Canis lupus familiaris: one gene and its partners. The protein of the gene in region 3 purifies or fractionates together with the protein of the main gene of each other region. This does not show direct contact. Links are inferred from orthologs where the notes say so. Each region holds a gene or a part of one and is shown on either strand. Other genes may lie near its edges.

Region 1 (4,602 bases), on a different chromosome or scaffold from region 3:
CAGCAAGCATTCAAAGGTATTTATTGAGTGCCTACTGTGTGCTAGGCCCTTTTCTAGCTGTTTAGGATGCAGCAGTGAACCAAAGAGCCCAATCTTCATGGAACTTATGTTCTGGTGGGGCGAGACACACACCATAATAAATATGCCCACTATTTTAGAACGTAGGGTTTTTTTTAATTTATTTATTCATAAGAGACAGAGAGAGAAAGGCAGAAACACAGGCAGAGGGAGAAGCAGGCTCCATGCAGGGAGCCCAACATGGGACTCGATCCCAGGTCCCCAGGATCACACCCTGGGCCAAAGGCGGCGCCAAACCACTGAGCCACCCGGGCTGCCCAGACGGTAGTTAAGTATTAAGGGAAAAACTGAGGAGAAGAGGATTGAGAGTGACGGGAGAAGGCAGGTTGCAGTTTTAATAAGGTAGAGAAAACTTCATTCAGAAGGTGACATTGGAATAAAGATTTAAAGGCCTCTGTGAATAAATAAATAAATAAATAAATAAATAAATAAATGTATGTATGTATGTCTCTGTGAGGCATGAGTATTCTAGGCCCAAAGAGCAGTGAATGCCAAAGCCTGAAGTAGGGGTGGCTTTGGTGGGGGGAGGAAGGAGTCCACTGTGGTCAGAGGGTGCGAGTGAGGCAACAGCTGGAGGACATAAAGTCAGAGGGGAAATGGGGAAGGGAAGGTCCAATAGGGCCTTATAAGCCCTAGTAAAGGCTTTGGCTTTGACCTTGAGAGAATGGTGGTCAAGGCAGCAGGCTCCTAGAACAGCTTATGCTGTTTGCTCCCTATACTTATGGGGATGTTAAGGCCAAATCCTTCCGGGGTGCCCAGCCTATATTTTCTATCATCAGCATGGGGTCCTGTCCCAGCAATTCGTGGAGCTCATCAACAAGTGCAACTTGATGCAGTCCGAGTACCGGGAGAAGAATGTGGAGCGGATTCGGAGGCAGCTGAAGATCAGTGAGTTGTGGTGTCTGGCCTACAGGGTCAGGTAACCTGACCCAGCTCTGAGCCTGACCTTTTCCTTCACAGCAAATGCTGGAATGGTGTCTGATGAGGAGCTGGAGCAGATGCTGGACAGTGGGCAAAGCGAGGTGTTTGTATCCAATGTGAGTGGTCATGGCTAGCCTCCCTCTTCTGGGACTCTCATCTTCGCTGAGGCCTGGTCCCCTTTGATTGAGGGAATACAGAGGCCTGGAAGGGAATGACTTAGCATGCCTAGGGTCGCTCATCAAGGTCCTGGCCCCAGTTCTAAGCCTGAGGGCTGCCTGAAAGCTCAACAGGAACTTCTGATCTGCTGCTGGATTCCCTGTGACCTGTCTGGCCATTCCTATCTGCTCCCCAGATCCTGAAGGACACGCAGGTGACTCGACAGGCCCTAAATGAGATCTCAGCCCGGCACAGTGAGATACAGCAGCTTGAACGCAGCATCCGTGAACTTCATGAGATTTTCACTTTCCTGGCTACAGAAGTGGAGATGCAGGTGGGCAAGACAGCTGGCTGGGCTTGATGTGAGACCGTGTTCAGTCAGAAACCCCACTGTGTCTGTCAGTCCATCTCCACTCTCTAGCCTCTCTCCCCGAGGCTTTCATCCCCCTCCAGGCTGGGCCATGCCCCCAGGCTGGCCCTCACTCCCATCTGTAGCTGAGCCCCAGAATTGCTTCCACCTCCACATTACACAGATGGCCACTCCTCTACACTCACCATCTTACCCTGTCTCCCAGTTGAGCTACCCAGGATGTAGCCCAACTCTGGCTCCTCCTCCACCAATAGAATCCACCCTTATACCTCTAAGAGTTCTACTCAAAGATGCTCCTTAGGGGGCATGCCTCCACAGATCTGAATGAGGTTGGGGTGGGAGGTGGTGTTCTTCTGCTGCCCCCGTTGTGTGAGGTGAGGTAAGCTGCCGGCCTCTAGTGCTGCAGCCAATGCCCTTGTGCAGCTGGGATTCATGGGGAAGGCATTTCATTCAGTAGGAGTACCAGGACCTGAAGGCTGGCAGTGCCATGAGGAGGCAGGGTTGGGGAGGGCTTCACAGCTGTTGAGAGGCAAGCCTAGAAGAATGAGCAAATTCAGACAGATTTACAAAGAGACAGAAGTTCACCCTCTGTGACAAGGTATGAGCTTCTTAAGGCGCTTGGCTCCAAGCCACCACTGCAAATGAAGGTTGTAGGGGGTAAGGGAGCAGGGCAGAAGGGACTACATAATAAAAGGGATCCTGGAAGCCACCCTCAGGAGTGTGCACTTTGGTCAGATGTGGTCCTACCCCCACACCTTTGTTAGTGCTGCATTTCCTGCCAGAAAATGTCCTTTAGGCAGCTAGTGTGAGCAAGCAGAGGAGCTGATGGGCTCTCCACCCCCAGTCATCCCTACCTGCCTGAACTGTCCCCCTCCTCTGAGCAGGGGGAGATGATCAACCGGATTGAGAAGAACATCCTGAGCTCAGCAGACTATGTGGAACGCGGGCAGGAACATGTCAAGATTGCCCTGGAGAACCAGAAGAAGGCTCGGAAGGTGAGCCTTGACACCCCTTCCCTCCCCTCTAGTCTGAGGCCCTGGTTGCCTTCCCTCCCCTTCTGAGTTTGTTTCCCTGAACTCTCCCACAGAAGAAAGTCTTGATCGCCATTTGTGTGTCTGTCACTGTCGTCATTCTGGCAGTCATCATTGGTATCGCCACATTGGTTTGAGAGCATTGCACATTCTTGGTGAGCTATTGTGGGCCTGCCCCCTGGCCTGCCTCGTCCTGGGCCCCTGCCTTTCCTCCTCCCCTCAGACCCTCTTCTCCCTCCTTCCCTTACAGGCTCTAAGAACACCGGGGACCCGGGTCCGCCTTCTCTCCCAGCAGCTGAGGGGGGAGGGCAGGACAGAGCCTCCAACTGGACCCCCTTCCTCACACTGGCCCTGTGCAGAGGGGCAGACAGTTCTTCTGGGGTTGGCAGCCACTCATTCATGGGGGCTTCTCCACTCAGGCCACAATGCCTGGGGGAAGGCCTGCAGCGTCCTGTTTGGCTGGGACACATGGTTTTGTAAGAAAGTAAAAAAAGACAAACAGAAAAATGAGCTTGGAGACTGCCCCGTGCATGTATGTTCCTAGAAGAGCTGGCCCAGGGCCTCTACGTAGGCGGCCTCCTCTTTCCGTGGCCATCTTTGGGGCCAGGCCCATCCGAGGAAGACTCAGATCAGACTGTTCAGGTGCTGTGACCACAGCAGGCTAGCACTGCCCTTCTACTCTCCCTTAGGAACAGGTGGGCAGGGAGGGGCTAACACCCACATCTGGCTCAGTATTGTCCTTGGGGAAGGATTACTGTGAGTACCTAACCCCAAAGCAGTGAAGCTGGGCCTGGTAGGCTGGGACATAGGTGAGGTGTGTGTGGGCATCCATCGGCCTTCCTGAGGCCACGAGGCACCGTTGAGTAATGGAGGCTGTTACTCCAGATACAGTGAACAGGGAAAGTCCTGTCTCAGAAAGGGTGACATTTCAGTGGGCTGTTAAATGAGGAGGAGCCAGTTATGAGAAGAAGCAGGGGGAGAGGCTGCAGGGCAGAGCCCAGAAAAAGGCATAGCCTTTGACATAAGAGTTTAGCTTAAAGCACTGGGGACTCCGGATCAACACACCTGGCTTCTAGGGAGTTAGGTGGCTGAAGCAGTAGAGGTGACAGAGGAGCCTGACCCTTGGTTTCTAAGAGCTCTGGGCCCCAACTCTAAATTTCTAAGAGTTCCGAGTCCAGAAGCCTAGCTTCCAGAGCTGGGTGTGGCACCTGTCGCCAGACACCTGGTTTCAAGGGGTAAGCTAGCTCCTGGCTCCGAAGCTTGGTTGGAGTGGAGCAGCGCCTGACCCCAATCAAGTCCTGGAGGCCGGGTTCCAGCTGCCACAGCCCATCCCGCTTTCGATCCCACAGGCCCCTGCTGCTGCTGTCGTCGCTGCTACTCCAAGCTGCCCTTGCCTGGGCCGTCGGGCCAAAGTACCACACATGTGGGTGCTGGGTGACGCGAATCATAGAAGGGGTGGACGCGATGCCCTGGGTGCAGTCTCGGACCCAGCCCCTGGACCTGCGGGGGGGAGGGCAGGAGCCAGAGGACGGGATTAGGCTCCAGAGACCCCTGCCTGCTTTGCCTCCACCCATCTGGGCGTCCTCCTGCAGCGCCTCCCAGTGGGCTTAGAGCGACCCTCGCCTGGCAGTTGCAAGGCGCCTGCGCCAGGTCCGAGGGTCCGCTTTGCCCCGCGTGTAGGGGGCGTGGCCTGGCCGCAAGTGGAACACGATTGGGCGCGCTAGTAAACGCCGCCTCTGAGGAGCAGCGGGATTGGTCCCTAGGACGTCCAGGGACCTCCTGGGGGAGTGAGGAGTGGCTATTCAGCCGCAAGCCTCCCTGAACTGACGTGGGAGGAGCCTCGGCGAGTCCTCAGTCGCACCCACAAGTGATTGGATCGCAGGGCGAAGCACGACCAAACCTCTAAAGGAGGCGGAGGCGGCACTGGCTTGTGAGAGTCTGGCGGGGGTAGGTGAGTCAGGGACTTCACCGGAGAAGGCGTGGCTGGGTCCCCCTCCCTAGCCGCCGAGCTTGGCAGCTGGGAGGGTACCCACGCCTTCGTCACGG
Region 2 (5,227 bases), on a different chromosome or scaffold from region 3:
GGATTGATAAGTAGTGCTCCCTCCACCCCCCTACCATTAATAACCTTTACAGCAGCTTGCCTAAAATGTTTACTTGTTTACTAGTTTGGTGAGGCCTTGTTCAGAAACAGTATTTATTTAAACTAAACACAGTTTAGTTTAAAGATTAAATTTTTTAGGAAATGTTTCTGAAATTCTTCACCTCTGTTACTCTATGAAGGGTAAGACGGTACAGGGAAATTAAACTCTGCGATATATACCTTGACAACCCAGAGGTATAAAATAGCTACCATTTCTCAATGGTAATGTAAAATAAAAACAGACAAATCTCCCAAATTTGAAGAGTACATTTCCCCTGCCCTGAGTCAGCTAACGAAGTCTTTTTCAAGAACTCAAACCTCCTGAACTCAAGCAGCTGTTCATGAATCTTTAAGAGTTCACAGGTGTTTCATATTTCCAAAGTTGTTGAAACAGGGAAGATACAACATGGAAGATATTTATCAAACATAAATTTATATCAAGATTAACCACTTTTCCAACCAGCTTAGAAGTGGACTTTTCCCTTTCTTTGTCCTCCCCCCCAAAAAAAGAAATGAACGTCATGGAACCATACATGAAAGATGTTTCCATCATCCCTTACTTTTCTAGATCGCGTTAACAGTTTTCAAAGTGCCTTCACGTGCCGTCTTGTTTATTCCTCACAACACCCCTGTGAGGTAGGTACAGCAGGTATTAGTCTCCTCATTTCAAGATGAGGAAATTGAGGCAAAGAGAGGTTAAGTGACTTGCCCAAGATCACACAGCTGAAAAGTGGCAGAGCCGGGACCAGAAATCAAATTTTCTGACTCCTTGGCCAGTACTCTTTCCACTCTGACTACTGCCCCCAATTATGAATAATGTACTGTGTATCAAAATTGAAAGGTTACTGAAGTTCATTTCAGTGATGTCTTAACAGTAAAGTTAAACGAGAACTACAAGAACAGTAGGTCTGATGATTTTACTTGAAATAATAAAACTGGTGCAAAACCACTTTTACCTAATTACTTATAACCTTTTGGTCCAAATACATAAAATATGCAATATTTACAGCATTTTCCTTTCTTTTTTTTTGTAAATGCAATGCTTTAAAACACATTATAAAGCACCTTAGTAAAAATAGTCTACAAGTAAAAGTACAGAAGTAGGGAAATCCTACCCATACCACAGCTCACTAATGAGTCATAATATGGAGTCAAATATGTCAGTTTGCCGCTCTACAAATAACCCATGGAGGAACGTACTAAACTTACTTTTTTGATATTAATGTGTGGAAGCCTTAACTAAAATTCCAGAAAGTGTCAACATTCTTTGAAGTGTCTTCCCAGTCTTAGAGACAGGGGAGACAGGAATGAGAAATACTGCTCTCTTTTAAAATTGGTTTTTAACACTAATGATCAGGTTTGGTTTTTTTTTTTTTAAGAATATTCAAACAACCTACATAAATATGGGCAATTCCAACTATAGCAGAAACATTCTTAGCAAACAGTATCAAACATTCCAATAAATTTCATGAGACATGATTCACAGAAACAAAGCACACACTGCCAAACAGTTAGTAACACTATTCAGTAGAGGTGTATAACCCAAACCTCCAGGTGAAGGTGGAAGGAGCAAATGGATTCATCTTCATTCATGGTTAGGTGAAAAAAACAAAAAGCTTTATCAAAAAGAGAATACCAGAACTTTTTTTGAAATTGTATTTAGCCTCCAATGAGACCTGCTATGTGTTTATTTTTGGTGATGTGTAGGCTTTTTCCAGGCAGGAAATTATAACTCCCACCAAAATTTAACTGGGGGGTGGGGGGAGAAAAAGGAAAAAAGAAAGAAAGAAAAAAAGAAAAAAAAAAGGCAGAAACTTAAACCTCTTAGGCCACTGAAACTTACCAGCCAGTATCCACTTCCTCCGTGTTACTGCCCCCTAACGTGGCTCAATACACATGGTCTTATACACCGATCCCCAACCCAACTTGTGGAGCTGAGTACTAAGGTGAAGACAGGGTCAAGGTTTTAGTTCAAGAACCTAACAGTCACACCTGGCACTCAGTTCGATTTCGGGTAAATCTTTTCATAGAAAAAGTTTTGTGCGAGGATGTAGAGGTCTCCGTCTTTTTCCCGTACAGCGTGGGCTCTGATGAACTGGAACTGCTCTAGCGCAAATTCATAGAACTCATTCTCCATTTTCCAAATGTCAGATTGCTGTAGTTTCGCAATGGTTTGTTTAGTTGGGAGTTTCTTCTCTGTGGTTTTCCTAAGATGAGATTTCTTTCCTACTTACAAAGGAAAAAAAGAAAAGGTGAATAATTCTGAGAACACCCAAAAGAGCGATGCTTCTTTATGTGGAGAGATGGATTGAGTTGATGTGGCACACTGAAGGCCATTAACAACTGTTTTTGCATTAATATCATTCAGGCAAAACTGGTACCCTAATCATACTAGAAATATCATTTAAAAAAAAAAAAGATTTATTTATTTTGAGAGAGAGTAAGTGAGCATGGGGGGGGAGGGTGCAGTGGGAGAGAATCTTTCAAGTAGGCTCCCTGCTGAGTGAGGAGCCCAACTTGTGGCTCAAGTCCCAGGACCCATGAGATCATGACCTGAGCCAAAACCAAGAGTCAAACACTCAACCGACTGAGCCACCCAAGCACCCCTAAAACTGTGATTTATTCTTTTATAGTGTAAATCCTTAACCTGTTAAAGACTTAATGAGGGATGTCTGGGTGGCTCAGTGGTTGAGTGTGTCTGTGTTTGGCTCAGGTCATGATCCCGGGGTCCTGGGATCGAGTCCCACATTGGGCTCCCTGCAAGAAGCCTGCTTCTTTCTCTGCCTATGTCTCTGCGTCTCTCTCTGTGTCTCTCATGAATAAATAAATACAATCTTAAAAAAAAAAAAAAAAAAAAAAAAAACAATGAGATGTCAAATACTAAAAGTAAGGATTACCACTCAGTAAAGCGCAGGCTGTCGCCTTTCATGCTATACTGTTCTAATCTCAAATACTTGGTGCTCTGACTAGTTTAATTTTTCAATATGATAGAATCTCTACTTTCAAACTTAATACTAATTTACCATAACCTGTTAGAAGGTAGGGCATATGCATACTCTAGGAAGAGTTACTATATTGTACCTTACCAAAGAACGGGGGAAAAATCCACATTAGATTGGATTAGAGCCCTGTCACTTCCAGATATGTCATACAGTCGAGGCTGCTGAAGCACATTTCACCAGGACAGACACAGCACATGCTGATCATCATGGGTGGGACTCAGTCTCACCATCCCATCCTTACTCTAAACAGCATTAGGCAGGACTCAGGTGCAATATGGTCATAATGTTTGGTGTCTGGCATTAGCTAATATTACACATTTCTAACTAAGGCTGGTTCTGCAGATCATATCTTTCCACTATCCCTACAATGCCTTCTAACTATCATGTTTATTTGCTCAAAAAATATTTAATGAACACCAGCTGTGTGCCAGGCACTGTTCTGTATTGAAAATGGTTAAGAAGAAACAGGCAATATACATTCCTTTATGCAGTTATTTCTTGTGCTTTGAGTTACTCAAGAAACATCAAATCCCACATATTTTTCAGGTTCCAAACAAACAAAGTTAAAGACAGCTTTAACAAGAAACCTATCCTTTATATACCTGTACGGTAGAGTTCTGTAGCACCCCTGAAGAACCGGGGCAAAGCAGCCTCCAGCAACATGATAAAATCTTCAAGTTCTTCAGTAACTCCCACCAGAAAGTATTCATTAATTAGGTTATACTTGGCTTGATCCATAGCCCACCTGCTTCCCACATTCCTAAAACCAAAGAAAAGGAATTAAAAACCTAGCTGTGAAATCTAAGTATTTTTGATGCCTCTGACACTATATACTATGGAGAAAATAAGCACATGTCCATCCAAAATCTTAATGCCCTTTTATTAATGTCTTTGGTGGGAGGGGAGTTGAAGGTCCTTCCCAGTTCTATGAATCTATGAAACATACTAAAGAAGTTCAATTAAAATCACCTCACTAACGTCCAAAAGAGCAGTACCCTTTTATTGCTCTAAGGCGGGGATTGGCAAACTTTTTCTTGTTAAGTGCCAGAGAGTAAATATCTTAGGTTTTGCAGGCCATATGTTCTTGGTTACAAATATTTAACATTGCTCTTGCAGCATGAATACAGTCATAGACAAGAAGTAAATAAATGGAGATGGCTGTGTTCCAATAAAACTTTATTTATAAAAAACAGGTGATTGGCCAAATTTGGTCTCCAGGTTGTAATTTGCCAATCCCTGTTCTAAGGAAATGATTAAAAATTGAGATGTTCTTCCTATGATTCCAATTCTTTTTATGCTGTTATTATGATCTGATATAGTCTACTGAGTAGGACCTTACAGTTCACAATGATCTAATAACATGTTTCATATAACGAGGAAAAGAAGGCATTCCTTGCATTTCTCATCATGGTTTTAAGGAAGAAATACTAACTTTGAATGTGTTCCTCTTTCTGCTTTTCCTATTAAAATGATTAGAACAAATAAATATATATAAACATGTACTATTTTTTAAAAACTGAAAACTCTGCACATTCAGAGGAAATAAACTCTTCATTAAAGATAAAATTTATTTTCCACCTCACGTTTATTAGCAGACTAAACCATAACCTTGGCTTTTCTCAAGGTAAAAAAATCAGTTAACAGTAAAACCAGGTGAATAATGTACTCACTAAGCCTTTTCTTGATCTAAAATGAGTGGCTAAAACAATAAGCTTAGGAGAAAATGAGGTTTATGAAATGACCCCTGGCCTCTAATTAAGAGCTCTGCTGGAATATAGCAAAACATGGTAATACCAAAAACAATAAATTAAAAACCAGCATCTGTGAAAAGACTGCAAGGATATGATGTATGAAGAATCTTTTCTATGCACTTAAAGGTAACTATAAAACTAGAGATTTAATTACATGCTATTTTTAATCCGGTCTTTCACTAAATGCCCTATATCTAGCCCTTGACTAGTACGTTCACACTTGCGAAATACAGAATACAGAGATAATAAAGAAGATTATCAACTTAAGCTAACTATGTCCCTACCAGCATTCCGAGCTGTGGCCACAGAAGAATGGGATTTGAAGCCAGAGCTTCTCCGGAGCACAGTCTGAGCCGCCTTCAGCTACACACTCATCAAAGGTCTAGAACAGACACAAAGCAACATAGGTGAGCCA
Region 3 (5,227 bases):
GCTAGATAGATTCTGAGGATGAAGAAGCATGGTTACATTTTTGAGTTTTTTGACAAATACTCAGCACAAGACCAACTAGCAACATTTAATCTCTGTAATTCCCTCTGGCCAAATTTTGTGGGTGATCCAGACCACAGTCACCAACAAGGCCCCCTTTGAAAATAAAGGAGAATGCTGTATGTGAATATTGGAATTTTAGTGACATTTCATTGAAAAGCAGTGGCTTTATTCAGGTTAAAAGAAAGAATGTGTGTAGTTAACAGTTACTGGCATTTGAGGTGCTGCATTTGTTTGTGATCCTTATGCCGGGGGATGCAGGGTATGGAGAGGAGGAGAGCTGGGCTGTGTCCGTGGTCAGATACCCGGGCACCTGTGGCCTCTGAGTCAGGTGACACCAGCTCTGGGATGAGCAGGTGACTTTGTTGCTGAGGTGAGGGTTACACGTGTGAATCTCCTTGGTCTCATCTTACTCGAAGAACAGTGTTCCTCTGGTGGGTGGGGACCATCAGCTCTGTTGTCGGTCGGAGGGATCTTGGAAAAGAAGCTTCCTGAGCCAGGTGTTTCAATCTGCCGACTGCAGCCGTGAGCAGATTACAATATCAACTTCGTGGTTTGCCGCCAACATTTCTTTTAATAACGAAATAAAATAGGTGGAGTTGAATAAATACCATCAGAGTACTTCTCAGGTGACAAGGGTAATGGCACTGTTTTGTAAACTGTTTACTATTCAGTTGTATATTTGGAACACAGTACACGTGTCCTTATTGGGTCATGATGGAAAGTGTGTTTCTGTCTGGGTCCATGAGACCTCCGCATCCTTGTCACCACCCTGAAGGACCTAATGGAGCATCACTTCTGAGCTAGCACACACCAGAGTCCACCATGCCCCAGTGCATCATCCATGACCCTCGCACACTCACTACCAAATACTGTTCATGGTTTCCCTTCAGTTTCCTCTGGTGCGTCTGTCTCGTGGCAGGTACTTCAAGTGTAGCAAGAGCCTGGAGTGCGACATTTGATGAGCTGATTGGCAAACCCATTGCGGAGTTCTCGCGGACGCACATGGCTCTGAATGCCCCTGGAGTGCTGGCCGAAAACCCAGACATATTTGCTGTGATCATCATTCTCATCTTAACAGGTAAAGCTACACAGTGGGACACATCCAGTTGGAGTGAGAGGCCTGAGGTGTGTGGGACAGGTTTCCATGAGGCCTGTTTCTTCCTTTCCTTGTTCTGCTTTCCCCTCCTTTTCTTTCTTTCTGTAACGAATGCAGACATCTTGTTTGTCTTAACGGCTTCTCATACACACAGCGTTGGCGCGTTGGTTAGCTGTCAAAGCCGTGTGCCAGTTATTTAAGAAAGAGTCTCAGGTACTTGTGTAGCTTTTTGTGGAGTGGGAATTTGCTAATACTGCAGGCTTTTTGTACAAGTGACCCAGGAATACGAATTCCCTTGACTCAGTGGAAGACTGTCTGGAAAAGAAAGTGGCATTCCTCAGCGGGTAAGAGGTGGGGGATGAAGTCAGTCCATGGCACCAGTTTGTGCCTGGGGGTTGGAGAAGTCTTGAATGATTTTACATCTAATAGCCATCAAAATGCTTCTTTAAAAAGAAGTAAGTTTCATGACAGTCGTGGGCACAGACTTTTAAAATTCCAGATATTGCTTAAACACGGCTGAAGGCAGCTATTTCCTAGTGATGTTTTTCTGGGTCTCAGCCTCAAGGTTGTGTGTTTTGTTCCATGTGGCACTTACTGTATAAGCATTAAGCTGAACACAGATAAATTCCCCTTTGAGATTAGAAGATCTTGGATGGGTTTTAAAAACAATATGCCTTATTTTCCGCACCGTAATTGAAATCATCTAGCACAGGCCAGTCTCAGCAGTATTTCTGGTCCAGTTGGCAGGAACGTGTATCAGAAATGAAGTTTGCACCAGTGAGATTTTCATAAACATGAGAGGGAGGGATGCCAGAGAGAAACCCGAGCACAGCATGATGAGGTGATCCCTGTGATAAATTGCTCAATTCCCTTCTTGTGCCTTCATTTCAGAATTGACTCTATTGTGAAATGCATTTTTTTTTATTTTGAGTGTATGAAAGGTGTACCTGGCAGGGCAGCAGTCTTAAGTCATAAGTGGTAGTCTACCTGTCACCTGGAGTCCAAGCCTCTTTTCCTCCCCAGCCTGGGGTTTGGCCACACATGTCCCCAAATGGCATGTTTATCCCATTGTGGTCATGTGGCTAAGCCTCAGTGACAGTGTTGTCATGTGGCTTCCATGTGTTTTTATCACTTGGGTCTTTTTGATTTTTTTCATGTGAGTTTATGATCTATAACTAGTCTAACTTAGACATTGTTTTAAGTGCGCCAAGTCCGAGATGAACCACACGGTTCGTGGTTCTTCCATAATCACAGGAAGTTGTTGTTGCTAATACCATAAACATTGCAGAGTGAATCTGAATAATTTTCTCATCTGAAAAACCCTCATTCTGTCAAGAAACTGAGTAAAATGTCTCCTTTTTGGAGAAAAAAATTCCTGCCTCCTCAGAGGAGTCCAGGAAAGTATGTTAATGAGGAGGAGAGGGTGCTAGGAGGGGCCTCCTCTCTGTCCTTGGGAGGGGCTTGCCCTCCGGGTGGTTGGCAGTGGTATCCCCCATCTCTGCTGTCCTTTGGTGCCCCCTGGGTGGCACCCTGAACTCCAGAGGGACCTGCAAGGCCAACGTTGGTAGCTTTGTGAACTACCGCCTGAACTTCAGTTATTTTGATCCGGGCTAGAAAGAGTATTAATTCAGTCCCATTCCCAGAGGCTCACAGAAATCTTAGGAGGTTTGGTGCCACTTGGATTCTTCCTAAGTCACCCTCTCCTGGGATCCCTGTCCCTGTCCCAGGAAGGACTTACCTGGCACAAAGTTCACACTCTCAGGCAAAATTTTCCTGTTTGTGTGCTTTTTCAGGACTTTTAACTCTCGGTGTGAAAGAATCGGCCATGGTCAACAAAATATTTACTTGTGTCAATGTTCTGGTCTTGGGCTTCATTATGGTGTCAGGATTTGTGAAAGGATCAATTAAAAACTGGCAACTCACAGAGGAGGATTTCCAGAACTCATCCAGTAATCTCTGCTTGAACAAGTGAGTTGTTTTTTCTTCCTCTCGGCCTATAACAGCTGATGCGTATTTGGTACTTAATGACATACACCTGTATTGGGGGCCTGTAATTGGCCAGAATAGTACGTGCCTTTTTAAAAAATAAAATTTGAATTTGAATTCTTTTGTGGTAAAATAGGTGAGGGTGGTGAGGGTGTTTTTTTGGTTTGAAATTTGTGTTAAGTTTAATTTCCCTGAACTCGACAGAACATTGTATGATAAAGGAAGATATTCAGGAAAACAGAATCTTCATTCTAATTCCAAAACTGTATGTAGTTGAAGATCATTGTCAGACTCACTAATCTGTTTTTCCTCATAATTGTTTCATGACCCACCTCTGAATTTTATATTCAGAAAAGATTATGTCTGCAAAACTATGGTGATATCACTTGATTTTGAAATGCCTTCCTATTAGTAACATAGAGGGAAGAAGAAATACATGGAACTTTTATCACAGGCTTTTATTAAAGGTTTTCACAATTAGTGAAGTATCAGAATGTGATTGTAATAGTTTCTTTCTCCTACCTTCGACTTGGGGTACATCAGCCCTGAAAACCAGCAGCCCAATTTCCCTTATGTTCTCTGACTCAAGACTCTTGGGATTGGAGGCAGGTGACAGGCCAGCCCTTGGACCTGTGCTGTTTTAGGACCTCCAGTGAAGCCTCGTCAACAAGCTGAGATTATCTAGGAAACAAGAGCCAAACAATTAAAATGTATCTTTTTGATCTTTTGTAATTTTTCAGGGGAATCTTAGGGTCTTAGGATGGAGAAGGGGGAGTGAGATTTTTGTCTATGGTTCTATTTTGATTATGACCAAAGGTTAAACAGCTCTGATAAGGAGACCCTCCTGAAATGCAGTGATTTTAAAACGATGTCTTGACATGAGCAGACCAAGTTGACTGGCCAGCATGGCTGCACACAGGCTTTCAGGGACCCTGACCGTCCACCTGGTTGCTCCATCCTGCCCTAAGATGGTGTCCTCTTCTGCATGGTCAGAGCTGGGCTGTGGGCGTGGGCAAGATCCAGCCCTCCCGGAGAGGAAAAGAGGGTATGGGAAAGAGTGTGCCCAGTCCTTTCAAGGGCAGATCCAGAAGATGCCTTTCCCTTCTGCCAACATCCCACTGGTGAAAATCCAGTAGGTGGCCATATCTAGCCGCAAAGGAGACTGAGAAACAAGGTCCCACACTGGGGATCCCACTGGTCACACGTGAACTTGGTCATTGGGCAGGCATTGATGTGTGACTAGTTCACTACTAGAACACAAGCAGGAAGCTGTTGAATGCATGAAATATTATGTGGTTAACAGTTCAAATAAAAAGAGCCTGCCTTTTGGAGACTAAACTATTACAGGGAAATGAGGGCTTTTAATTTTTTTTTAAGTAAACTCTATGCCCAATAGAGTGGGGCTTGAACTCGTGACCCCAACATCAAGAGTTGCATGCTCTACTGACTGAGCCAGCCAGGTGCCCCTGAGAAAAGAAGATTTTTAATGTAGCATTCCTAAGCATTCCTGGGTCATATTTATGCCAAATTTATTGATGCTCATTATCTCAGGGTAGAGTAAAGCCAGTTCAAAATAAGCTTGGAAATAACATTAGATTTTGAAAACCTGGGGTGACTGTCTTGCTGGTGGCTGTTTATAGATCAGGAATTAAATATAAATGGCATGTCTTGTTTCTTAGTTGTCGATCAAGATTGAATTTTATTGTTTTTATGAAGATATTGTTTATGTTAGCCAATGGTATTTACTGTCATTGGTTGTCCTCATACTTTGTGTCCTGGTGAGATGAACTGTACTGCCTTCAGCCCCAGGAGCACTGCCTCCGAGGTAGAATGCTGCAAGTCTGGAGCATAGCTTGCTCTTTCATTTTATTAAAGCCTATAAACTGCTTTCTCTCGTTTTTTTTTTTTTTAACCCCTCAGCCATAGATTTGTGTTTCCAACCACGGCCATGTAGTCTTGCGTGAAATTGCTTGTCTCTCTGAAATAATAGAGTATTTCCCAACCAAACCACACAGCATGGAGGAGCTTCAGCCTGCATGGCTTTGGTGGCAGTTCTGAGCACTTTGGATTGTGATTTTATGATAC

The links. Proteins that work in one complex are often made in the same cells at the same time.
Region 1: the proteins of SLC7A1 (region 3) and STX4 purify together in Homo sapiens (co-immunoprecipitation; 3 studies listed by BioGRID and IntAct, counting the BioPlex papers as one, with this or other methods). This does not show direct contact. The link is inferred for Canis lupus familiaris from reciprocal best matches to the Homo sapiens genes SLC7A1 and STX4.
Region 2: the proteins of SLC7A1 (region 3) and HS2ST1 purify together in Homo sapiens (co-immunoprecipitation; 3 studies listed by BioGRID and IntAct, counting the BioPlex papers as one, with this or other methods). This does not show direct contact. The link is inferred for Canis lupus familiaris from reciprocal best matches to the Homo sapiens genes SLC7A1 and HS2ST1.

What each region holds. Positions count from the first base shown.
Region 1 is NC_049227.1:17,344,975-17,349,576, reverse strand, and holds the end of STX4 (syntaxin-4), read left to right. Parts: intron 1-857; coding exon 858-966; intron 967-1,038; coding exon 1,039-1,115; intron 1,116-1,351; coding exon 1,352-1,489; intron 1,490-2,409; coding exon 2,410-2,520; intron 2,521-2,612; coding exon 2,613-2,693; 3' UTR 2,694-2,711; intron 2,712-2,806; 3' UTR 2,807-3,066; downstream 3,067-4,602. UniProt on the Homo sapiens protein: Plasma membrane t-SNARE that mediates docking of transport vesicles. Necessary for the translocation of SLC2A4 from intracellular vesicles to the plasma membrane.
Region 2 is NC_049227.1:61,662,115-61,667,341, forward strand, and holds part of HS2ST1 (heparan sulfate 2-O-sulfotransferase 1), read right to left. Parts: intron 5,195-5,227; coding exon 5,097-5,194; intron 3,822-5,096; coding exon 3,664-3,821; intron 2,289-3,663; coding exon 2,059-2,288; 3' UTR 1-2,058. UniProt on the Homo sapiens protein: Catalyzes the transfer of a sulfo group from 3'-phospho-5'-adenylyl sulfate (PAPS) to the 2-OH position of iduronic acid (IdoA) or glucuronic acid (GlcA) within the heparan sulfate (HS) chain and participates in HS biosynthesis.
Region 3 is NC_049246.1:10,397,406-10,402,632, forward strand, and holds part of SLC7A1 (high affinity cationic amino acid transporter 1), read left to right. Parts: intron 1-979; coding exon 980-1,138; intron 1,139-2,949; coding exon 2,950-3,124; intron 3,125-5,227. UniProt on the Homo sapiens protein: High-affinity, low capacity permease involved in the transport of the cationic amino acids (arginine, lysine and ornithine) in non-hepatic tissues.